2 linked regions of the Drosophila melanogaster genome follow. The protein of the gene in region 1 purifies or fractionates together with the protein of each later gene. This does not show direct contact. Each region holds a gene or a part of one and is shown on either strand. Other genes may lie near its edges.

Evidence for each region.
Region 2: the proteins of MAGE (region 1) and Nse1 purify together in Drosophila melanogaster (affinity purification with western blotting, with the first as the bait; one study listed by BioGRID). This does not show direct contact.

What each region holds. Positions count from the first base shown.
Region 1 is NT_033777.3:7,152,931-7,165,839, reverse strand, and holds MAGE (MAGE), read left to right. Parts: upstream 1-10,659; 5' UTR 10,660-10,775; coding exon 10,776-11,474; 3' UTR 11,475-11,602; downstream 11,603-12,909. Other genes in the region: sas (stranded at second), read right to left, coding at 980-1,319; Sas-4 (spindle assembly abnormal 4), read right to left, coding at 11,676-12,536, 12,588-12,909.
Region 2 is NT_033779.5:6,669,779-6,682,662, reverse strand, and holds Nse1 (Non-SMC element 1), read left to right. Parts: upstream 1-5,037; 5' UTR 5,038-5,114; coding exon 5,115-5,822; 3' UTR 5,823-6,014; downstream 6,015-12,884. Other genes in the region: Nhe3 (Na[+]/H[+] hydrogen exchanger 3), read left to right, coding at 1-168, 233-522, 579-720, 891-1,199, 1,273-1,384, 1,445-1,598, 1,665-1,716, 1,957-1,992 and 4 more; cort (cortex), read left to right, coding at 6,113-6,232, 6,292-6,423, 6,489-6,903, 6,962-7,333, 7,392-7,541, 7,601-7,863; CG34310 (uncharacterized protein), read right to left, coding at 8,138-8,357, 8,435-8,604; Spn27A (serpin 27A), read left to right, coding at 9,488-10,831; cup, read right to left, coding at 8,349-8,362, 12,150-12,884. UniProt on the Drosophila melanogaster protein: Component of the SMC5-SMC6 complex, a complex involved in repair of DNA double-strand breaks by homologous recombination. The complex may promote sister chromatid homologous recombination by recruiting the SMC1-SMC3 cohesin complex to double-strand breaks.

The sequences.
Region 1 (12,909 bases):
TGCCATGGCAACAACCTATGCTCAATCGATCTAGACCTGTGTGTGGCCTGCTAGACCTCGTTTTATCGAGTCATCAATGAATCTAGATGGAATAGTATCAAAACAATGAAAAACCAATTGAAGTTTTTACGACGGAGTGCTTGCCTCGTGAAGAGTTTGGTGTGCAACTGACATTAAGCCCAAACAACCTTCTAGATAATTATAAATCTGTTACAGCCAAGAACTCGGCAATGGAATTGCCCGATTAATCTATTTTGCAAAAGGTACGTGTGTGAAAGTTAATCATTCCATCTCAGGTGATCTGGTTAAACGAATTTCTCCAGTTATCCTAATAACCTAAATGTGAATGTGTTCATTCAACAGAATTACAAAAAAAAAAAAAAAAATCTAATCTGATTTATTATTTTTTATTTTATATTAAGTATCAATTGTATCGAAATAGAAGTATAATTCAATTTATCTTGAGTATCTTGGGTGTAGTACGAGTAGAATATATTAAGATTTAATTAAGTTCATTCACTTGTTCTAGCACGAATAATAATTTCTCGTATAATTGGTTTCCGAGATTGAGCTTGAGGGCCGGAAATTTTAATATTTTCCCTTTAATATGCCGCGTAATTAACTAAGTAATTCAACAGGAAACCGCTTATGTATATCTTCAAATATTCTTCCATCCATTAATAGTCAAACAATTTCTCTTGTTCGCTCCATTTAACCGAATCGGAAAATAATTATGGAGAAATGCCGTACAAATCGAAACGAAATGGGTAAAAAAAAGGGCGGACCAGAAGTCACGCACCGGCACGGCGTTAATTGGTGGCTCAGAGAACGAGATTTGATTACGGCGCAGAGAGCACAGCGCGGCTAGGCGGGATTAAAGTGTCTGGCCGGAGATCGGGATGAGATGCCCCAGCTATGCGAGCGTCGTCGCGTAGATGCCGTCTATCTATAATTTTCATGGCTTTCGGCTTGGACTCACCAGTTTCGGTCGCATTGGATTTGTTGGCCGCCTCAGTTGTTGTCGTCGTGGAAGTCGTTGAACCATCCGCCGCCTCGGTGGTTATGCTGCTGATGCTGCTGCTTTGTTCTGCGGCAGTTGTGGCTGGAGTGGTGGTGGCTGCAACGGCGTCTGGGGCATCTGTTGTGGTATCCAAAGGTGGCATCGTTGTGGCCGCTGCGTCTTCGCCTGCGGGCGCAGACGCCGCACGCTCAATTTGAATGCCAAGCAAAAGTAATCCGCAGAGAGTGGCCAGGCACATTCTACTCCACTTGATCGTGGATTGGCCGCCGGAGGCTTTTCTTCTTCTACACGTTTGCATTTTGGTTTATGTTTGTGCTCCGTCTTTTTGGCTTTTCCTCTTTGATTTTTCTCACACGTTTGCACTTGTTATTGTTAATTTATAGTAATCTGCTATAAATATGGAATTAAATAAATTACATGCACTTTTAAACGTTTCGAAGGGTCTCGATAACTCATTACCTACTTTTGTTCACTAGTTATTATTTAGTTTTCTCTTTTGGGGTGCGGGATTTTCTTATGCGGTTATTTTAGTTCACACGACATCTGTGGCAGCGGTTTCTGTTATTTGTCATTGACTCGCTTTGGTAACCCCAAATGCTGTCATTTCCGTTGAAAGTCGGTTGAATAACGATCTCTCAAGTGTCAACTCAAGTCTATATTTTGCCAGCCGATTTGTTGAGTGATTTGTTAGGTCGCCCTACGCGGAAATTGGAAAGTTGTTAGCTTGAAAATAGGGGTGGCTTACTCTTGACTCAATCAATCAAAAATAATATGTGAGTTAATTAAGCTACGAAATAAAAGTATTAGCTAATTTTTCCAAATACGCCGCATATCTAAAGCATTTCCTATGTCACACATTTATGTAATGACCAATTTAAGTGTGAAAGCGTAAACATCTTCGATGCCACTCACGCAAGTTCGTTTCCCAAGTCTTTTGTTTTATAAAGTTTCGCATAGTTTTGAATGTGTCCGAATTTTTGAAAACCTATGTAGATTTACGATACGTAAACCCTATTTAGCATATTTCATTTAGATTTACAACTTCTGTACCTAAGCCTAGAGCAGCTCATAAATATCTTTCATTTTTTTAAGACTACGCCGCCAGCACAATGTTTACTTCTCACCATTCAAATCAGAAACTAGGCAAATAAACCAGCTTGCCAAAAACAAAGGCTGCCAATTGGGCTCTAAAAAAAGATATACTGTTTATATGCAAGGCAGTCGATGCTCATGCAACTCGCTACAATGCAACGCCAGCAACAAAAAACCCTAGACCCAAATTGCGATAGCAAAATATTTCAACCGGTTCCAACGGCAGCAGCAGAAACTGCAACTGAAAACGGCTGCAGACCGCAGAATTTGCTGCACGCCTTTTTGGCCATATTGGTACGAAGGCAATTAGACAGCGTGCGGTTCTATTTATTCCATATCTGCTGGCAATTGTTAATATTTCTTTTGGCTAACATCTAGTGATGTCATTGTAAAAGTTGATAGCTATTTGCACTGACATTTCGCATTTCACATTTCACTCTCACTCCTTTTTTGTAGAAATGGCAAATGGCAGAAAGCAAACAGCGAACAAGCGATTCGGAGCTGGAGGGAGAAAACGTGTTTTCGGTATTTCCAATGGAATGTTTTCGGTCGTGGTTCTCTTTTCTTCTGCTGGGCCGTTTATTTCACTACCAGATCTTGTGTTTGTTTAATAAGAAAGCAAAGATTTGCATAAATCACAACCGCACACACACGCAGGCACGCTTAAAACGAAGATTAGCACCAACCCGGCGAGAAATAGGTATAGGTATTGGTATATATCTCCTCTTATCTGGCCACGTTTGTGGGCAGCGCGGTTTATATGTATATATAAATCGTTCGCAAAGTAATGCGATCGCACTCGGCCAACCGCTCCGTCTCAAGCACGACCACCAACTGATCTCTCCGGCGGCACGGATCTTGGCTGGTAGCGTTGCCAACTCACCACGGTCTGCATCTGCAGGCTGCCAACATGTAACTGGTTTGCTGTTGCTCTCCGGCCAACTCTTAGTTGGCTCTCATCTGGCTGGCTCCTTCTCGCGCGTCAGCTGAGCGCAACAGGTGAGACCGTGCACGTAATACATAATACCCATTACCATTACCCCGTGGTTGAATGCTCGCTCTCACCCACACTCAGGTGTGTCTAGGCTGTTGCTGTCTGCCAGTGTGGGTGTAGTGAGCGAAAGGCCCTCTCTAGAAGTCGTTGGATTCGAAACAAGACGACCATGATGCATACACAAGACTCAAAGACGGAGTTTTTTTTTTTCAATTTGGCAAGGCAACTGCAATAGTCGATTCCTTGACAAGTGAACTCAGCGCGATCTATTTGGACTGTCCAATTGGATGGCGAAAAACTCAATCCCATTGAAAAACCCAGGCCAAGCCGAGTTGGCATTCATCGTTCCGATTACGCCTACCTTCGGTTTCTTTCTTCCTCGACTTCTTTGTCTGACTTTTTGAAAGAGCACAAGCGTAGATTCGTATTAGCGGCCCTGCATCTCCATACTCGTAGATCCAGAGTGTTCATGAGTCAGGGATGCTTGGGGTCACAGCGGCACTAAGAGATTAATCCCATTTACAGCTTTCGTAAATATGATTAAATAAAGAAATTCTATGCTACTTCGAAAGAGTGAAATGATAAGTGATAAGGTGATACCTTATCACCCCTATTGTAGGGTACATTGAACACTCGTGAGTGATAAAAATGATTAGTATAAGGATAGCATTAGTACTATATTATATTATATTATGTGAAATAATTACTATAATCCCTAAATGTTTGGTGTTCTAATAATATTTAACCAATTACTTTGGGATAAGTAAAACTAGAGATAAGATAAGTACGCCGACGCTATTAAAACCCAAAAACTAGTCGAGGTCAAATCGGTTTCTATAGAGGAAAGTACGATATATGTATATATAACTACATAAAAGTTATTTTTACTGCGATACCCGAAATATTAAATAAAACTAGAAAGATTCATGAAATTCCAATATCTATTAGCAAACCCAAATAACCGCCATTCCGAAGGCCTTATCTGCGGAGCTGCTCCCAAATTCATAAATCCACCGATCACTGACTGATCCACCGCCATCAAATGCCATCGATGCAAATATCAATTCTCCACTTGGGATGCGAGACGCGCCCAGAAACCGTCATCACACATCAATGGCAGCAAGTTGGCCAACCGTCATTAAAAAGGAAATGTGTGTCTGAAGAACTCAAATCTAATCAAATCAAATCATATCCAACTCAACTCTCAACTCTCTGCTCGCAGACGTCAAAAAGTATCAAATGTGCACACAGTTTCTATGTTATTGGGGCTGCTCTTGTGGTTGCATACATTAACGTGCAAACATCAGAGAATAATGCAGAAATGCGCTTTTTTTGGTGTTGCACAAACACGGCCAAAGTTGCATTGTCTCCCTTTGTTTATACATACATATATTTTGTCTGGGGCTTATCGCACCGTCATTGAGAAGCCGCTAATGCTAATGCTAATAAAATACAGGCGAACATAAAAAGATAATAATAATAACAATGCAACTTCAGTTTATGCTCACAGTTTTTGAATGGAGCATTTCTCAATGTATGCAAAGGAAAAGAACGCTGCAAGAAAACGGAAACTACAAGTAGTGTCTTTTGCATAAAATGCACAACATATGAATACTAAAGCATTAGGAATTAAGAATTAAAAATTAAGAAATATAAATTAAGCAAAAGAAAAGAAGACTAGAAGTGTTGTAAAAAATTCCAAAGTTGCATACTACCAATGGGTCTTCCACTGATAGCCAATTATCTAGCTACCAAATGGCCACAGACCTAAGCACCCACTTCCTTGCATCGTTGGAATGGGACCTGGTAAACCTGATACTTGTGTGATTTGATTTACCCAATCGCATGCAATGCGATAGCGCAGACGAAGAGCAGCGAAAGTTGTTCAATAGTAATTGGCTTAATTATGAGTACAATCTACATAGAAACTCGAAATTAAATTCGAAATTAGCGAAAAGCCATATCCACATTATATAAAAACGCGAAAAATGAATTTTTCGGATGCCATTGCGAGGGGCCAAGTTTTCACAGTTCGTTTTTTCCACCTGCTGTTCGTTGGTAATGTCTTCATTCGTGGTGTTACACATCAAAAAAAGAAAAAATCTCATGATAAAAGTCGAAGAGAGTTGGCCAAACTAAGGCCATGAAACCAGACGAAATCTCTTTCCAGTTAATCTCGAATTTGGGACTGTTTCAAAAGGCAGCGACACCGAGTAAAATGAAGTCAAGTCAGTGCGCATTAAATTGGCTCATTTTTCCTTATTTGTTCACAAAAGGCATTTAACCAATTTGCTCTGCACCGAAACTTGCTTGATATTACGTCAATATATTTGGCTCAATTTTCGGGTTTCTTTGTTTGATCTACATTTTAGTGTTTATTATTGGATGATTAAAGTCAAATGAATTAAGGCAGGCAGAGTGATAAGTAATATACCCACATTTATTTATTTGAAAGCTGTGCGGATTGGTATCATTGCACAGTGGACCAATGCATTGGTCTGTCGTTAATTGCCGTGATGGGATTTATTGTACCGATAGTTCGCATTTTCTCATCCATTCACAAGTGCTCTTATTAAATAAGGGATTACAACAATTAAGCCGAAATCTACAAAGTAAATTTTGGGTGTAGAAAACACTACAGCAGCCTAATTTAGTCAATGCAAGTACAATTAATGTGGCCAACGAACGTGGCTTAAAACCAGCAAAAAGTGTAGCAGCTGCCATTGTGTTGCTATTGCTGTTGCCGTTTATTGTCAAAGCGGTTAAGCGACATGCCACCAAAAATGATTGACAATCACTTTACAAACTGTTTTCATTGCAGCCGGGAACAGCAAGAAAAACAACGCGCACACTGAGAGAAACGAGGCCCACACTCGGACTGACAGCACTTCCCCATTTTGGCTGCCAGCAACCAGTTGCATATGAAAGTAAAAGTAAAGCATGCACATGCAGCGTATAATAAATATATATACACAAACTGCATTTAAATGCATTGCAGACGGGCTGAGAGACCGCTGGAGAGATACATATGCGACTATATGTTTAATATGTTTCATACAAACAAAACAAACAAAAGGCGAGCCGGTGCGAAGACAGCCACACCGGTTGTGAATGCAGACACCGCTCAGACAACTATACCCATATTATGTGCATATAAGTTCATATATACGATACATATATATATATACATATATGGCCGCTAATGAAATGCGTTCAAAGAGGCCGAAACGATACCCAGATGCTGATAAACAAGCTGAAAACCAAGCCAGGCTCAAGCTCAAAAATAACCGAAACTTCATTTCGAAGACATGACATCATATATGTATACGTATGCTGCATAATCTTCTTGCTCGGGATTTAAATTGTTTAAACAGAATTTCTTTGAATATTCGACTCGTGACTCAAAAGGTTTTGCTCAGGGAATTTATTTCTTTGGCCTTCAGAGATTTTATGGACACGTTCGTGTTTCGTTTAGAAAACATAAATTGAAATTAGGGATAAAATAAGTAGCTTAAGAGTCGCATATTTATTTCATAATAAAAATCAACATTATTTTTTCGTGAACTTATAGCATTCCATGGAAGTTTTGATTTAGGTTTGACTTGTCTATTTGTATAGTTATAAAGTTGGGATGCACAAAGGATACTTTTAAATATATAAAATGTAACTATATGAAATTAATTATATAGAAATAAATTTTTACTTTCTCACTGCACTTTCAACTTTATTTTTAATAGAGAACTTGAAATGCTTAAAAGCACCAAAAAATAAATAAACATAAACCAAGTCGCTTGGCTTGTCAATCATGGTCCATTTGACCATGACCATGACTTCAGAGTGCAGATCTTCTCACGATCGTTTGAGTTGGAAAATCGTAGTTTTTCGGCGTTGCAAAAGCCATTAAATTGATGCATGTATAACATGACACCAAGCTCGATAATAATTATTACAAATTTCTGCCTTTCGGCGAATGGCTTGTGAAAGTTTTTCGCACAGGAAGCTGGCTGCGATTTATGCAACAATTTATTGGACATTATTGTTTCTGGCACTCTCTCATGCAAATTGTGCGGAGCTCAAGGCCTTTGCGACAAAGTCGTCGACTGCATACTAAATTCGAAAATGTGATTCACATTTCGGTTCATGTGATACACTTGCAAAAAGCTGCCGATCGACCTTCGCAAGGCGAAAACGTCACCGAAAACGTGTGTTCGAGAAAAACCTAAGACTTGACATTTTATTAGTTTCAAGACGGCACCGGATACTAAGTAAACTATTTAGCATTTGGCCGGCGTAGAGAATTACCCCAATCACTTTGGGTACCTAAAGTGACTCATTAGATGGGCATTTTTCAAGCGTCAGCCGAAACACCATTAGTTTTGACCAACTTGTACGGCCCCAGACGCTGAACTTATAGCTTAATTGTTTACAAAACGGCATGGCCACTTCAATGTAATTAATAATTATTAAATGTTTATATAAACGTTATGGGGATGTGGGTTTCAGTTGTAGCTTATGTATATGCTGGCCCACTTCAAAGTCATCGAATCACGGGCTATAAAATTAATAAGCACTTTAGAATGGCCGGCCAAACGAGAGATTGTGAATCTCGAGAGCAATAAAAACACACGAAGGCGAAACTCAAACGCAGCGAAAAGATCAAGTTGAAGACCACAGAAAATGCAAAGACACAAAATACAATAAACAATAAAAAAAATACAACGGCCTTGAAAAATATTTAGCAGTGAATATCTTATTTAAATTATATTAAATTTTAGTAATTTCAATAAACGAATTTCTATTTCACACAAGTGGAATCTTAGAATTGTTTAACTTGCACGACATCCACCGCCATAGAGCAATAAAATCCCATATTTTCCCACTACGAATATGCGTAAAACTTAGATCCGCTTTGACTTCAGCCATTTTTTATTCGACTGAAAACCGTGTACTAGACAACCCGCAAGTCGATGTCGTCACACGGTGCGTATACGCGATTAGGCATGCACGAGTGAACTTGGCCCCCAAGTGAAGTCAATTCACTGATCATTTGTTCGACTTTAATTGCGACGATTGTTGCAGCCATTTGGCAAACTATCTGATAAGCGTTTAATTTGATTATCAGTGGCCGGCGTCTAGTTTGCATCGAAATTTATTAAGTGTAAAAGGTCAAATAGCAGCTTCGTTTTGATCCATGGCCTGAGTTTAGCAATTTGACCTCTTAATTAAGCCGAACAAGTTTGTTGTCCAAGTCTTTTATTTGAGAACTAAACTCTACTCGCTCACAGCTACGTTCAGCTTAGCGCGCTTTTGTAATTGTGAGCCCCATTGACATTTAGCGGATAGCTGAGTCGTTCTGAGAGAGGAGCAAATCATAATCTAATCGAAGTGCCGGTCCCGGGCCAAAGCTGATCAGCCAGATCGACCACGAGCGGCAGCTGCTGGACAAGAATGCCGAACCGCTCCGCTGAAGGCAGTCCACTTTTAAGAACGGCACGCAACCAGACTGAGGCAACAACAGCCGGCTATTGTTTCTATATTCTCGATTCCATTCCATTGCGACCGAAACGGGGTTATCTGCTCACTGAAAGAGGTTGTAAGAACAAACTTATATACTTGTATAGGGAAATAAAACATTCGATTTGCTGAAGAATAAATTAAAATATTTTTAGCCAGAGAAGCTGGGAACATGAAAAGAAGGAATCTTTAAAAAACTACAAGATAAGAGATTTATGTTTGCGAAACTATGCCATTTATCAGCGTTTTTCTTATCAAAACGAAAGACTAATTTGAATGTTTGCAACACATTTTTTTAAAATACAACTTTAAGAATATCAAAAGATGTATTTATATTAGCGTAATTTCCATTTAATGGTGCCTTCCATTTTTCTGAATTTTAAATGTAATATTATTTATTCATTTTTCACTTTTTATTTTCATTCATATTATTTTCGCAATAAAAAACTTTTAGCTCCTTAAGATATTCGAAATGATAAATCTCAAAGAGCAAGCCACTTAAAAACAATTAATCCCGATCATATAGAGCATTAAACTCCACACATTCCTCATTCCAATATTGGCTTTCTTTTTTGTGCACACATTTTTTGTCTGCTGCCTCTTGTGATTCTGTTATTAATTTATTAATAGTTTTTGCCACCGCGGTGAGCTGCGAAACCCGTTGTCGTTACTCTATTGGCTGGTCATGGGATTTTGTTTATCATGAAAATTCTAAATGGCATGCTCATGTCATTTGCTAATTTTTAATGGCCTTTAAAAGCCAGGCTGCATAGCAAGTTTGCCGCTCACGTCGCTCAGCAAAGACCTTGACTTTCTTTTTAGTAAATGAGACATTTCTCCAACACCGTCTGGCTACAATTAGCCGGCCATAAAAAAACTTTAGGGCTGGAGTTGACAAACTCCAACGTTACAATGCGCATTTTGAAAGCAAAACTGTTTGCTTGTGTGTAGAAAGTCTAACGCTTCGCGTTGACAGTGCGTTTTGTTGACTCACTCAGCCGCCGTTTTGCGAGATTTACAATCTTGAGTAATTTCACTTGCTGGGATGCAAATTTCGGTGCTATTACAGTCACTGGTCAAGCAGAATCAATTGCAGAACGCGGCGGATATCCATTTCAGGCGGCCACAAAGGCTGTCTTTAACAATCTGAACTCCGATATTCTGCTTTTGTTCAAGCCGGAACAATGGCGAATCAATTAAAGCTTGCCGCCTGGCCAGGCAACTTTTGTCTGCCTTCCGCCTGTACATTTATCACTTATGGATCGCGCACTTTGCGCAGACGCAGGTAACTAGTTTTCACCGCAGAGATACAGCCACCGCCATCGCCACCTAAAACACACATTTCAAGGCAATAAAATATGTTTGGCCATGTAATTCTGCAGCGTCTGGAAGTGCACTTCGGCGCGTGTGTCTGCTGCGCGAAATGCATTTCCATTTCCATTTCGTTTTGTTTGACTCGGTCTCTGTTTATTTTGAGTCTCCGTGGGGAATGTTGACCGTGCATGTCATTCGCGTTTAGTTTTGAAAGTTGTTTGCTTCCTGCTGCTGCACGTCGCGTCGTTTTGGCCATTTTAATTAAAAACACATCACCTCCTGAGGCTGCTATGGCAATTTTTATGCAAAGTGCGTTACCCACTGCTTAGCTGCTCGATAAATGCTCGAATGATATTTATTTAGCAAACGTTTCGCTGCAGCGCAAATTTCATACTGATTGTTAAATGTAACAGAGGAAAAAGGCGGCAGCAAAAGGAAATCAATCAATACAAACCCACAAGAGTAGGTACTTCAGCGGCTCTTGGCCCAGTTTGTGCGTTCAAACGAGACCAATGAGTGGCCATTTGCACTTGAAAGTGCATATAATAGGCAACCAAGTGAAAAAGGATGCGAGAGAAAAGGATTGGTAAAGACCATAATAAGGGTTCGAAGATTTTATTGTCAGAGTAATGATTTTGAATTAATATAATTTGCGCGCCCATTTGGTATTTTAATACTGAAAACAGGTCTCGTTTTTTAACTCTGATCTGGCAACGCCAGGCTTGTACACTTTCAAAAGTGCGAAAAAAAACATATGTTCGCTGCATTCTTGTTGAGTTGCATTTTAAATAATCAAATAAATTTGATAAATTGGGAGCTTGTTAATCAAATTAACTCGAAATGGCTAGCACTTCTCGCGCAGCTAGGAGCCAGAATGCCATCCCCTCGCAGGAAGCGCAACAACCCGTCGATGTGGTCGACGCCAAGGTTCGCGCCATTCTAAACTACATCCTTGATCATACCGCCCAGAAGATTCCCATAAAGGACAAGGATTTGATAGCGGTGGCTGGGGACAAGAGCGAACTGAAGAAACGCCTGCCGCTGGTCACTAATCTGCTGGCCGAAACATTCGGTATAATACTAACCCCACTGGACGCGACCACCAAGACGTTCATCTGCACTGCGGAGGAGCCGGTGGCCTCCATTCACGAGCTGACGCCGGCTCAACGGCCGCAGTTCACGCTGCTGTATATTATTCTCATGTACATCTTCCTGCGCGGCAACCGCATCGAGGACTCGAAACTGTACGTTATGCTGGAGATGCTCAACATCTATCCAGACGAAGAACATGGCTACTTCGGCCCCAATCTGCGCAAACAGATCGAGGAGACGTTTGTGAAGCAACAATATCTGAAGCGGGAACGCTCACAGCTAAGTGCTTACGATGATTCCAAGACTTTCTTCCTTTGGGGACCACGTGCCAAGGCGGAGTTCACATTCGAGCAAATGGTGCAATTCGCCTCCAAGCTGCTCAATCAGCATCCCAAGGTCTTCGGCCATCACCTCTCCATGGCCCAAGAAGGAGTAAACGCGGAGTAGAATACCATTCTATGAATAATTTACTACATTTGATCTAACAAATTGAAAACCAAACAATATATATAATAATCTAAAATAGAGCCAATTTCCCATTTATCAGCAAGAAAAGAATATTACGATGATCTTTTAAAAATAGCACGTCTTTTCTATTTATCTAAAACTTAAGTTAATTTACTTAACAACGGAAGCAGAGACCCGACTCTAATACTTGGCATAGTCTGTGTCCATTATGAGCTTGCCATCCTTGTCCTTCAAACGAACGCGGCCGTTGGAGTAGCGCGTCTCTTGGCTGCCATCCGGATACACTAGCTTCACAGTGCCGTCCGGATACTCCCTTCGCTTGTTTAGTTTGGTGTGAATCTCCTTTTGGCCATTGGGCAGATTGAGAATCTTGTCACCATTCCGGAGCTGCACTAGATGGGTTCCATCCGCATAACGCCACTCCTCCAGTTTCTCCGTATCGCTGGGATCCACAATCTTAATGCTGTTGTTGGGAAAGTGAATCTCAACAGTGCCATCCTTGCGGCGATGTTCCGTCTGCCCGTTGGGAAACTCGAGTATTTCCAAGCCATCTAGGTAGGAGGTGTGCCAAGTGTTGGTCTCAGCGTAGTAATACTTCACTGTGCCTTCCCTGATGTTAGTTTCCTTGATATCCTTGTTGAAATAGAGCATGCGCAAGTTCATGCCATCGGCGCTTATCTTTTTTAGATTGCCGTTTGGGTACCAAATGTCCTTGCTCCCATCCGCATTCGTAATCTCCCGCTTAAAGTCACTGCTGGAGTTGGCAGCCGGTGGGGGGGTAGCAGCTTTCGGAGCGGTCACGGGCGGCTGAACTTCCTCCGATTCCACAGAACTACTAGAGGCGTAGCTCTCATCCAGAGCGTATGGTGTTTTCTTATTCCTGCTCAGTGAGCGACTCCGACTTCTCACTTGGGCACTGCCGCTACTCTGACGACGGTTTTGCGCCTCTCGCTGCTTGGCAGGCTTACCAGCAGTGCCGTCCAGAGATTGGGTGCGCCGACCGTTCTCATCGAGGATATCGGACATTGTCGCGGAAGGTAACTAAATGAAGACATTAGTTACATTACGATATACACACAAGCATGCACTTACCACTTTGGGGGCAAGCCGGGCTATGTTTCGATTGATCTCCTGCAGCATCTTGCTGTTGTTTTCGCGGCCAATCTTGACCAGCTCTTGCTCTAGGCGCTTGTTCTCCTTGCGCAGCAGCTCGATCTCGTCACGGTAGTTTCGCTGCTCCTTCTCACTGGCCCGCAGTTGAGCGCGGAGTCGTGCCTGTGCCGAGACATGCGCCTGCTCCTTTTGTTTGAGCTGGAGTTGCAGTCCCTCCACTTCCTGTTTCAAGGCGGCTATCTCCTTTTTTTCCTTGCTGTTTGCATTGCTCTTTTGAAGTCGCATTTGCTGCTCGAACTTG
Region 2 (12,884 bases), on another chromosome or scaffold:
GGCACAAAGCCGCCAGAGGGAATCAAGACGTATGCCTACGTGTTTCGAGGACAGGTACACGATGTGGATGAGAACGAAATCGATCTTAAGGCAACGTTCGATCCGGAGGTATTTTTCAATATTATCCTGCCCCCAATTATCTTTTATGCGGGCTATAGCTTGAAAAAGGTAAGTTCATTGAGCCGCCAATTGTATTGAAAAAAATTTACCGAGATATATTTGGCTTTTGCAGAAATACTTCTTTCGCAACTTGGGTGCCATACTTACGTTTGCCATTGTGGGCACGACTTTGTCGGCCTTCCTAATCGGAGGCTTCATGTACGGCTGTGTGAAACTGATGCCAAAGTACTTGAGTAGCAGTTTCACATTCCTGGACTCCTTATACTTTGGAGCTCTGATATCGCCCACAGATCCGCTCACCATTCTAGCCATATTCAACGATCTTAGGGTCGACGTAAACCTATATGCGCTAGTCTTGGGCGAATCTGTGCTCAACGATGCCGTGGCCATAGTCCTTAGTGGGTAAGTTTGCTACTTTTTTTTTCGTTGGGAATCAGTAAGACATCATTTCTTTATAGAGCCATTCAAAATTATGGTGAACACTATTCCAATACCGGGGAATTCGAAACTACAGCTTTTCTACGCTCGTTGAGCGATTTCTTCTCCATCTTCTTACTATCCCTGATGATTGGCGCGGCCATGGGATGCTTGACAGCATTGATATCCTTTTCAAAGATTAATGATAAATTATTTTATTTAAGGGCAGTATACATGTGAATGGTAAAATTTGAGTTAATTTTTGTTACCTCAAAGTGGCATTGAAGATGTATATCTATTCCGCATTAATTAGAAAACACCTATGCTAATGACTTCCTTAACTCCCACCGCACATGACCAAATTTACTCGGGTTCGAGACTTTCCTTTGCTAGAATCCGCGCTCTTCGTGCTCATGAGCTACAGCACCTTCCTGCTGGCTGAGGCTACGGAACTTACTGGTGTGGTGGCCGTGCTCTTCTGCGGCATCTGCCAGGCTCACTACACGTACAACAACTTGTCGGAGGACTCGCGCCAAAGGACAAAACAGATATTCGAGCTCCTGAACTTTCTAGCCGAGAATTTTATCTTTTCCTACATTGGCGTATCGATGTTCACCTTTCCCAAGCATCATTTTGACGCCGGTTTCATTATAACAGCTTTTGTAAGTTATTTTCAGCATAGAAATACTTAAAAAGGCGTTCCCAAACAGAAAGTTATTTTTCTTTTTTTCACAGATTTGCGCTGCCATTGGAAGGGCGGTGAATGTGTATCCCTTGTCCTGGCTGCTGAACATAAAGCGAAAGCCGAAAATTTCCACAAACTTTCAGCATATGTTGTTCTTTGCTGGCAAGTTTTTATATATAATGTGCCATGTATTTTCTTTAACGCATATATATTATATTACAGGACTTCGTGGCGCCATGTCCTTTGCCTTGGCCATCCGAAATACAGTGTCGGACGAACGACAGACGATGCTGACTGCCACATCGCTGATTGTCATCTTTACGGTTGTAATTCAGGGTGGGGCTGCAAATTTCCTGCTTAATTGGTTGAAAATACCGTGAGTGCATGTGACGTACATTTAAATGGTTTTGCTTCATTGTCACAAACTCTGTCTCGCTTGCAGCGTTGGCGTGGACGATGAGACTGAACAACTCAATAACTATCAAGTGCACAGTGTAAGTACAAAATATCACGTATATATACGTGCTTAGACCGAATTTTGCCGAAAGATTAGTATAGGTTGTTAATTAAGGGATAAGAAAAGGTATTTTCCCAAAAGCATGGTGTCTGCAAACACATTGCTCAATATCAAATTTCTCTTTTCCATTCTTTTCAAAGAATAATTTTTAACTCACGATTTTGTTTATTTATACATTTCTGCGCACCTTAATACATAAAACCATTTGCTAAAAAAGGTTTACAATTCAATGGACAATTCACATCCACAGACGGTAGGTTTTGCCAATGATCATTCAATGCATTTCCGTGGTTTTAAATAATTTTCTTACTTTCCATTTTTAATTTGATTGGAAGCCTGTGAAAAGTAGAGCTAATATAATTTAATAGAACTCTGTGTTAGTCTGATGGTTATTTGCAGGATGTGGAGGGCGGTGGCGTTAATCGCAACAAGATGCGCTTGTCCGGTGGAACAGATACGAACTTGGACACGCCCGTCGATGGTACGAATGGCAGTTTGGGCGGAGCAAGCGGCGGTCGCCGGCGCAACAGCCACGAGAAGGCCATTCTTGCTAGGATCTGGGGAAACTTTGATACCAAGTGAGTGCCAAAAAGCAATCGGTATTTGGATTTCTCTCAAGGCTGCTGCTTTCTACTCAAAGGTACATGAAGCCCTTACTGACGCACTCGCGACCCACTTTGCTGGAGACGCTGCCCGTTTGCTGCAATCCCATTGCCAGACTGCTCACCACCACACAGCAACTAACGCAGGTGAGTTGTGCAGTTCAGCAAGAGGACGACAGAATCCTGATCGACTCGGACTCATTTCAGGATGGAAGCGAGTTCAGACGCGTGGACTCGGACTCGGACATTTGCATAGACAATGATACCGGGAACGGTCTCAGTCAGGATGGGTCCGGAGCGGCACCAGGCGTGGGGCGTCGGAACTCCCTGAGTCGCGTAAGTATTAAGTACACCGCCGATAATCACCATCTACTTGCTAGCTACCGAAATATTGAATAACCGAATGAGCGAAGCACCCCAGACACCAAAGACTAATCTAAGCGTAGCAAGCTGGCCACTAACAAAGAAACGAAAAACCTCAAAAAAAAACTAAACTAAACTAAAATCCAAATGAATCTACACCACAGAGACTTTGGCAAAGTAGACGTATTATTGTATGAATTGGCCGTGAAAATGTTTTTTTGTTTAGCGATCTTTTGCTTTTGTATAATTTTAATGTTAAATTTTGTGGTATAAGCGGAAGTGATGGATAAGTTACACCCTTCAGTATGGTTGACTAATTGTTTAAGTTTGTGCGACGGCAAACGATTTCCAGTATACTATAACACCTATGTAATATTGTTTTGACTGTTAACTACTACTAAATGCATGCTTACCAAATATACTTATGTAACCAAAATGTAACAACTCTCTCGGCGATGATCTAATTTATTTATTGATTTATGCGGCATCTTTCTTTCTTTCTGTCTTTCCTTCGACCAATCGATCAAACAATCAATCAATCATCTAACAAACTCATGCGGACTCTATCAATTTAACTTTGGTTGCTCTAACAACAATACCAACAACTCCAACAACTAATTACAAACTGCATTCATCCTAAAAAAAAAAAAAAAACAATAATCCATGTCAACCAACGGTCATTGGTAATTCCTAAAGTCTGTTCACTTGAACGAAGCCAATCACCTTGCAAACGAACTCAGCCTGGTTGCTAACAATTTCATGTAATCCAAAGAGTGGACCCTATCTATTTTTGTATTTGATTTATTTTTGTTATTTATAATATTTTGTTCGATTCTGTCTACTTTTCCTTGGTAAACCCATTGTAACGAAGCACAGACGGAGACCCAGACATGATTAACTTAGCCACGAGCCAGTGAAATTGAAATCTGATTAACCAAAGCTTCTTAGAGCACAGCAGTCAGGAATGTTTGTTTATATTGTTCACTTTTAATTTCTGTATTTTTCCTCATAATCTTATTTCTTAGATTCTAACACGCGACTAACCATGTAAGTACAAATTAAATTGCAGTTGATTTCCTCATTTTCCTAACGCCTATTGTACATAAAAGCGCATCTCAAGTCGAAAATTCACCATTACTTCATATTAATTTTCAAAGTCCCAGTGTTTTCAATTTTTTGTTAATGATTTTGTTTGCTTTTAGGTTGGAGGCGATCATCGAAATGCTTACATATAAGTTCAATAAGTTCTTAGTTTTCTTTTGTTATTTATTGAATTGGTCTCAACTGAAATCGAAAATGTGAAAACTGTACAAATTAGAATATTACTTTTCAGTTTATCCTTGTTTATGGAAATGTGATTCGGAACTCTAGTAATAAACACAAATCTGAAAGTTGTTGTGCAACTATTTAAGATCAGTAAGGGCACAGAAGCTATAAAAATGATTTCTATCATCGAGCTAACGTACACTAGTACCATACCTTATAACACGATAAATTACATGCATATATAGCCTCTTTGATTCTATTATTTTTAGAACTTGCCTCTGCAATTTACCTAGTTTTTCCTAAATACATAAATATATATATATATACACAAGCCAAATTGAATGGCCTAGCAAAAGTTTAATCGCATACTTATGGACATATTTCCTTCTTCTTATCTATTCGACATCGAAAAATGTGCTAACATGTATATTGTAATCGCCCGAAAACCACAAACCATATTATATTCAGATGGAGATTCTGGAGCATGTCCAAAGTCCGGTGTCGACGAGAATCCGGCTCTTAGGATTTTACGGGAAAAAGTTATAAGGCACAGGCGCAGGCAAACATATACTATTTCATTTTTGATGTATTTTACACAACATAAACTTATAGCTTTTTCGTTCTAAGCCAGTTAGTGTAAATATATCGTTTCGAAAACGGACTAATTGTATTCGGTTTAGTTTTTAAGTTTCAAAGCTGATTCACTTGCTGATCTATAACATTTTCCGATATTACCTAGGACCCTCCTATTTCTTACTATATATACGCTGTATTTAAAACAAAGCGAAGCTCTCTGAAAATATTAATTGTTGTGCTGTTAATTTTTAAGTCAAAACCAAAATAAATAAATAAAAAATTAATAATTGCTAAATTTTTTAATGGAAACAAAGCAGAAAGAAAGGAATTATAGATGGGCATTTCTTTTTAGGGGCACCGAAAGTATGATAAATTTAAACTTCATTAAGCCAAAAAATAGTGCGAGTGATTTTAAAATCGGAGATCTGAAAAAACATCGATTGATTTTTAAAAATAGTGTGACCGAAGTTGACCGCCCGTCAGCATAGCTGGGCACACTGCAACGGCGCGCTTCGGAATCGAATTGTGTATATTTGGATTTGTTTTGAAACATATTCAGTCATTGGCAATGGAGTTGGTGAAACGCGGGTTCCTGCGTGCGTGCAAGAACCACAGCTACCTCAGCTTCGAGCTGATCGATGATATCCTGGCCCCGCTATGTGCCAACCACAAGACTACAAAGCCCGGCAGCAAGGAGGCGATTAGGGCACTGGTGGCGGAGATTAATGACACCATCAGCGACTTGGGCCAGTTGCTGGTCTTCATCAAGTATCCGGTCAAGGCCGAGGAGTACCTGGTTTACGCCAAGACGGACGCTACGCCGGACAGCGTGGCCAACACCGGGCTCACTGCCGAGGAGTGTCAGTACTTTTCGAAACTGCTGGACAAGATCGCCTCCGAGGAGGACTGCCACATCGCCTGGAATGACGCCTACAATGATATCGTCCTACAGGCCAGCTCGAAGCCGTTGAAGAAGAGCCGCATGCAGGAGCTGCTCCAGAAGTGGATCCAAATGGGCTACTTCATGGAGGTGACCGACAGAATCTACCTAGGTCCACGTAGCCTCGTCGAGCTCAGTTTCTATTTGAGCTCGAACCACGCCGATAACATAAAAAACTGCACGCTGTGCAAGTGCCTGGTGTTGTGGGACATTCGCTGCGGGTCCTGCAACATCCAGTACCACCGCGGGTGCATCCAAACCTACTTGCAGAGACGCGATATTTGCCCCTCCTGCGGCAACCTATGGACAACTCCAATAAGACGCTCCATTGGTTAATCATTATGTCCGCGACATGTACTATAGATTTTGATACTAGAATAACAGTAGTCCGCTTTATTAACTAAATGATTTCAAGGTAGAAAATAAATAATTTAAAGCAACATCTTAACTTGAATTTTAAAACATCTTCATGTAAAGCATCGAGAAGTATAAACTCCACACTTTAAATGGCAAACATTAAAGAAGACCAAATGCACTCCTATCGAGTGTTCACTGTACTTGTAACTGTAAGTTTTTTTTGATCCGTTGCCAATTTAATATGGCGCTAGCAAAACAGAAATGTTTCAATGTTCGTCGAGATGAGTGTGTGTGACAGTCCCAATAAAAATTCCAAGCTGGACAAAAAGTCTCTGACGCCCTTCAAAAAGGTGCGGCGGAAAAACTGGAAACAGGAGGCGGCCTACAAGGTAAGATGATGGGCCTCAAAACAATTTGACCACCTAAACGTAGTTTTCTTTTCGCGCAGAGTGATACGAGCAAGGGGCAGGAGGTGTCCTATGTCGGCGAAAGATTCATACCCAACCGATTTGAGCGGGAGAACATCGAGTTCAACCTGAAGTACATTGGCAAGCGGAAGGAGCGAGATATCCTCGAAACGGTGTGTGCAGTACTTCTGGCTATATATACTTTCCATTATTAATTGAAAATGACTTTTACAATCAGGGTGTCACTTTGACCGCCAGCTACTGGCGACAGAGCGGCTTCATATCGAACATCAACCGAACCTTTGGCATCGGAGAGCGCCGCCTGTTTCAGTTTAGCAGCCAGCAGGGCACAAGATCCAGGGTGGTCGATAACGACTCCGCCGATTCGGACTGGCCATGTAATCCACGGGCGCGACCATATGCCATTCAGAATGCCACCCATGAGATGCCTGGCATATGCAGTCCCGTCGACTACAACATGATGGACTGGTCGTCCGGCGGCATGGTGGCCATGTCCTCCGGACAGGATGTCATGCTGTGGCGCAATCTGGACGAGAGCACCATGGTCTTCAGCGTCGAGTCGCCCACTTCCCTCAAGTACTCGCCGGATGGCAAGCACCTGGCAATCGGCTGCATGGATAGAAACTATCCAGGTATAACAGACCCTAAGCAATAACTTTGTAAAGCCCTAACCCTCCTCTTTCGTACAAGTTCTGGACCTCTGGGAGGTGAGGTCGCCTACGGAGTTCTTGGTCTCCTACCGCAAGCTGTTCTTCAAGTCCATGGGCTACATAAGTTGCATTGAGTGGTCCCACGACGGCAAAGAGGTCATCTGCGGCACTCAGTGCGGCGTCATCATCGTGCTGGCCATGCCCACGCTAAACACCCTGATGCAGTTGCGCGAGCATCGACACACGGTGAAGAAAATGAAGTTTGCTCCCACCCATAAGTATTTCGCATCCAGTGATACGGATGGCAAGATTTTCATCTTCGATGCGGTGCTAAAGGTTCGCCTGCTCAAGTTGGACGGCAGGTCCATAGTCTTTGACTGGCATCCGTGGACTGGAGAGGATTTAGCCGTTGGTAAGATAGTGGCAGATTAATTATTAGAGTATCTGCAACATGAATATTATCTTAACAGCGGAGCGAAGCCCTGCGTCGATCTTCATATTCAACATCCCGCGCCGACAATTTGTGGCTTCGTACAGGCGCAGGGATGACAGAATCGTTATAAAGACACTAACATACAGCAAAATCACGGGCGAGTTGCTGGTCAACGTTATTCGGCGTGGTGAGAACTGCACTGGATCCTTAATGCTTGCTAAAAATAATGTATTCTAATATCTACAGATGATGCGGACCTTGCAGTGTGCGAAATTCTGGTCTTGGCCTCCTTAAACCGCGTGGTTGACTTGATGTCCCATCAGGATCGCGGCACCCTCTTCCTGATGTGGAATCCGGATGGAACGAAAATTGCCACCGGCGGACTGGACGACACCTTTTCGCTGTGGAACTTCTTTCCCACCTATAAGCGCGAGGCGATATTGAGAAAGCAAGAGCAAAAGGCCAAGGACAAGTGCAGCTCCCTGAGCCTGTACAAAGGCATACGGTGAACAGAGCACAGTGATTTTTAATTGTTTATGTTTCTAGTCTTTTATTCAAACCATTTGTGCTTTTCATTATTTATTCAATTCATATTACTTTCATAAAAAATCCATTCTGTTTAACTCTAAAATGAACACAAGAAGATGGGCCTCTCCACCCAAAGTGAAGGTAAGAAAGTAAAAGTCCATTCATTGTTCACCATGTTACAGCGTTGAAATTTGGTAACTAATCACTAGGCTATAAGTATGTAAAGATGTCTATGACGGCACTGGCAGCCTTGGCTCAATATTCGCTCCGTTTGGGTCTTGACTCGCCAATCTGGGAGTGAACCTCCTGCTGGAAGAGGTACTCCGCACTGGCCTCGGCTTCCAGGCGTCGTTTCTCGAGAAGATAGGGTTTGATGACAAGGCGATGGGTGGTGTAGAATATAACAGTCGATCCAATACCGATGGCCATCAGACCAACCGTCGTTGTGGCGAATCTTTTGAAGCCGTTAATGAAACTCATCTGTGGGCGAGAACGGAATTCAATTAATATATGACTTTAGCCAGCAGATTAGGGTTTAGTGTGCGGGCTAACTTTGTGGTTCCACTAGTTTCAGTTACTGCTGGCGTTTCTGCCTCGGTTTTCTTCTCGTTTTTGTACTTCAAAATCAGCGGTTGCCAAATGTAAATACCGCCTAGCAGCCCAATGGCCGTGACCACCATCAATTGCGGAACAGTGACACCACGCGGACGACGAATTTGCATGGCACGTGCGGTTACTTTGGCTATTTATATTTATTTCTCATTAAATGCACAAGTTTCTTTCGCCGGCTGCTGTTACATCAACGCACCATGAGAATTTATTTCAGATCAGCTGTTTTGTTTAGCCGACACTTACCAACACTGAGTTCTATAATAGTTGTCAGCGTGGCCAGACTATCCCCGACACAACTTAAGCTTATTTGAAATTCAAATTTCTATTAATAGCTATTCATAAACTGGCTTGAGTATTTGCAGCGGGCGTGAAAGAAACTGTGACGTAGTTTAAGAATAATAACATTTGCAAACTTTCCTCTTTGATGACTATGCAATAATTCACAAATAGCTGAAGTGGGGAAAGCCTAATAAAGGCGGATATTGTTCGCAACTAATTTGTACAAAATAACAAAATAACATTCATAATGATGAATGATCCTTAAATATTTGTATAGGTTTTTTGGTTAATCCTGTCAATACAGGCATGGAAATTCTCTGAGTGCACTGATGCACTGTATAGTCTAGTCGTTTCCCTTCACTTCCCTCATCACTTAACCACACTCATCACTTTGCGATAATGACGTACGTATGCTTTGGGAGTCCCAACAAAAAAAACACACATGCGCTGCCCCGTCGACGCGGCAGCACAGCAGCAGAGGACGGCGTCAAGAGCGGCTTGAAGCTGGAGCTCGATTTTAAAATGGCCAGCCCGCTCGGCGCACCAGTCACTCTCAGTTGGAACGGCGCGTGAAACGGTTATCGCTCGCTCCACCGGCGCTCTCTCGCCGCTCGCCCCACCAAAGCCCGCATTTAACAGTTGTTTTGCTGCGAATAAGAGGCTGAAAGCAAAGACCCGAGGAAGATCGAGACGCAGAAGCTTAGGGAAGCACAGATGACAAAGATGGGCGGAAATTTGGCAGTGATGCTGCTGTCGCTGTTTTTGAGTGCGTTAGCCACGGGCAACGGCAACTCCATACCGACGACCACGACGCCCCAGGGCGTATTCGAAACCCGTACGGACAAGCTGCCCGGTGGCGCTGCCAGCGTGCCCAGTGGAGCGGGTATCTACGACGATATAGATACCTTTGTGCCCTTCCGGAGCGACTCGCACGATCCGTTCTCATGGCATCTACTGAAGACGGTGCTGCAGAACGAGACAGCCGACAAGAATGTGATCATCTCGCCGTTCTCCGTCAAACTGGTGCTGGCCCTGCTGGCTGAGGCGGCCGGAGCCGGAACCCAGACGCAAGTGGAGCTGGCCAACACGCAAACAGACATTCGATCGCAAAATAATGTGCGGGAGTTCTACCGCAAGACACTTAATTCCTTCAAGAAGGAGAACCAGCTCCACGAGACGCTCAGTGTGCGCACCAAGCTCTTCACGGACAGCTTCATCGAGACACAGCAGAAGTTCACGGCCACGCTGAAACACTTCTACGACAGCGAGGTGGAGGCGCTAGACTTCACCAATCCCGAGGCGGCGGCAGATGCCATCAACGCCTGGGCCGCCAACATCACGCAGGGCAGACTTCAGCAGCTAGTAGCCCCGGACAACGTGCGCAGCAGCGTAATGTTGCTGACCAATCTGATCTACTTCAACGGTCTGTGGCGGCGGCAGTTTGCCACCACATTCCAGGGATCCTTCTTCCGCAGCAAGGACGACCAGTCGCGGGCGGAGTTCATGGAGCAGACCGACTACTTCTACTACACCACCTCGGAGAAGCTGAAGGCGCAGATTCTGCGTCTGCCCTACAAGGGCAAGAACTCCCTGTTCGTCCTGCTGCCCTACGCCCTGAATGGCATCCATGACTTGGTCAAGAACCTGGAAAACGACGAGCTAAAGAGCGCTCAGTGGGCCATGGAGGAGGTGAAAGTGAAGGTGACGCTGCCCAAGTTCCATTTCGACTACCAGCAGAACCTTAAGGAGACGTTGCGCAGCCTGGGTGTGCGCGAAATCTTTGAGGACAGCGCCTCGCTGCCGGGATTAACCCGCGGCGCTGATGTCGCCGGCAAAGTAAAGGTGTCTAACATCCTGCAGAAGGCCGGCATTAATGTGAACGAGAAGGGAACGGAGGCCTACGCAGCCACCGTTGTGGAGATCGAAAACAAGTTCGGTGGCAGCACCGCCATCGAGGAATTCAACGTAAACCGGCCGTTTGTGTTCTTTATCGAGGAGGAGTCCACTGGTAACATACTGTTTGCCGGCAAAGTCCACTCACCCACCACCCAGAACTAAGCCTCTCAGGCGGTTTTATCTTTAAATACGCAATAAATATACAAACAAATGAGAGTCTCTGCGCTTCAGTTAACCTTAATATGATGTGAAAAGTGTTGCAAGTGGATAAGCTTTCTAATACATTTTGCTGAATCCTACAAACGAGAAACGAATCTGTGCTCTTGACCCCTTTTTCAGTAATCGTGCGTGGCGACGATTCCCCCAGCGAGTCGGTTCCCATCTACAGGCCACAACATTCCGCTGGCTGATAAAGCCACTGGTGCTGTCGTTAAATGTTTGTTTTTATATTTATGCCTCGCCCAGGCATGCCACGAACAATTGAAAGCAAAAGGCAGCAATCAAGTGAGAGATGCAAATACCTGCTAACTCTGGGAATGTCCCACGAACGTAACATCGGCAATATCCAATGGGGAGATCGATGGGTAACCGATTGCGCACATAGTCGACGGCAAATAGAACCCATGACTCAGGGGGCTGGCTGAGATGTTGTTCGACTGGGAAATCTTAAGTTTGCGTAGTTAGCCACGTTCTGGTGATCTCTTGAACAAACAAGGAAGCCAGCTAAGCTTGGGAATTTAAGCGCAGCTTAGAAACAAGTATATGATAAAGTTTGTTAGCTTAATACAATTCAATTGCTATTCATCAATGAAATCATTATAAAAGTCCTAATGTTTTCTAGGGCTAAACGATGTATTAACGAAAAGTGTAAACAAGGTCTATTAGTTTAAAAGAAAAAACATATATATATATATATATTAAGCTCGACTAAATGCCCTATCTCTCATGTTTTATTTATCTTTCTGATTCGAAACTCCAGCCAGCTCATCCTTGTAGAGGCGTTCAAGTGATAATCTGAATCAACAGCTTGTAAATATATCGCAGATGTGATCAAGTGCATTGCAAAGTGTGCAATGTTTGCAGTAACAAAAACCCGTTTACAGATAATACGTGAAAGTGGTCATCAAAGTGCATATTTGCTCTGCTTTCGAAAAATCAGCCTGAAAATTGACCGTCTGACTCAGACACATAAGCGAAATACCAAGAAGGGGAGGCCATTAGGCAGCTTATTAACTATAATATTACCGTAAATGATAACAACTCAGCACAAATGTAAAAATATAAATTTCCTCCCTTGGGTATTAACCCGACTTTTAGAACTATGACCATAACGCTGTCAAGAAACTACAAATCTAACTGTTATATGTGATGACTTTGCTTTCAAAGCACAAATGATAGGGTAAACTTAACGGAGAGTACCCACTGTACGATTGTATCATAATATAATAGATCTTCTAAATTAGGTACTAAAATGACTTACCCCCGCTGTTGGGCAGCATGGAAATAGCTGATTGAGCTTGCATTTGGGCCTTATTGAAGCTATTGACAGCTCCAGCGTTGTTCTGATGAAGCGAATTCAGCTGTTGGGGCTGCTGATGGGGATGTTGCTGCTGAGACTGTTGGTATTGCTGCTTGTACTGCGTGGCGAAGTGCGGCTGGTTGGACTCAAAAGATTGGAAGTTTTGGTTATCACCGAATCTCAAATTGGAATGATGCTTCTGCGGCTGTCCATTCATAGGATAACCAGAGGCGTGGTTATTGCCACCGCCAGAGATCAAGGCATGGAGCAAGGCATTCGAGTTGGCATCTGGTCGAGCCTGGCGTTGCTGGCCACGGTTTAGATATTGCTGCTGTGCCTGATGCTTGGCACCGCCATTGATAAGCTTCGAGGTCTGCTCCTCAATTTTTCGCTTCATTACGGCGTTTCGCATTATCACATTGGCATGCGCTTGCAAGTCCTCCTGCGACAGTTGGTGCGGCGCCTGCGTCTGTGGATTATGCTGCGGCTGCTGCCTGGCTGCAAGAGTCTGCTGGACAATGGCCAAGTTGTGGAGATTCTGCAACTGGCTGGCGATGACCGTGCTTGAGAGCATGTCCAGCTGCTGCTTGTGCTGCTGCTGCTGCTGCTGGGTGTTGGTGAACTGCAATACAGCAGTGATGGCCTCGCGATCCATGTCCGTCAAGCGTGGGTTGGCCAACTGCACCAGCAATCCGT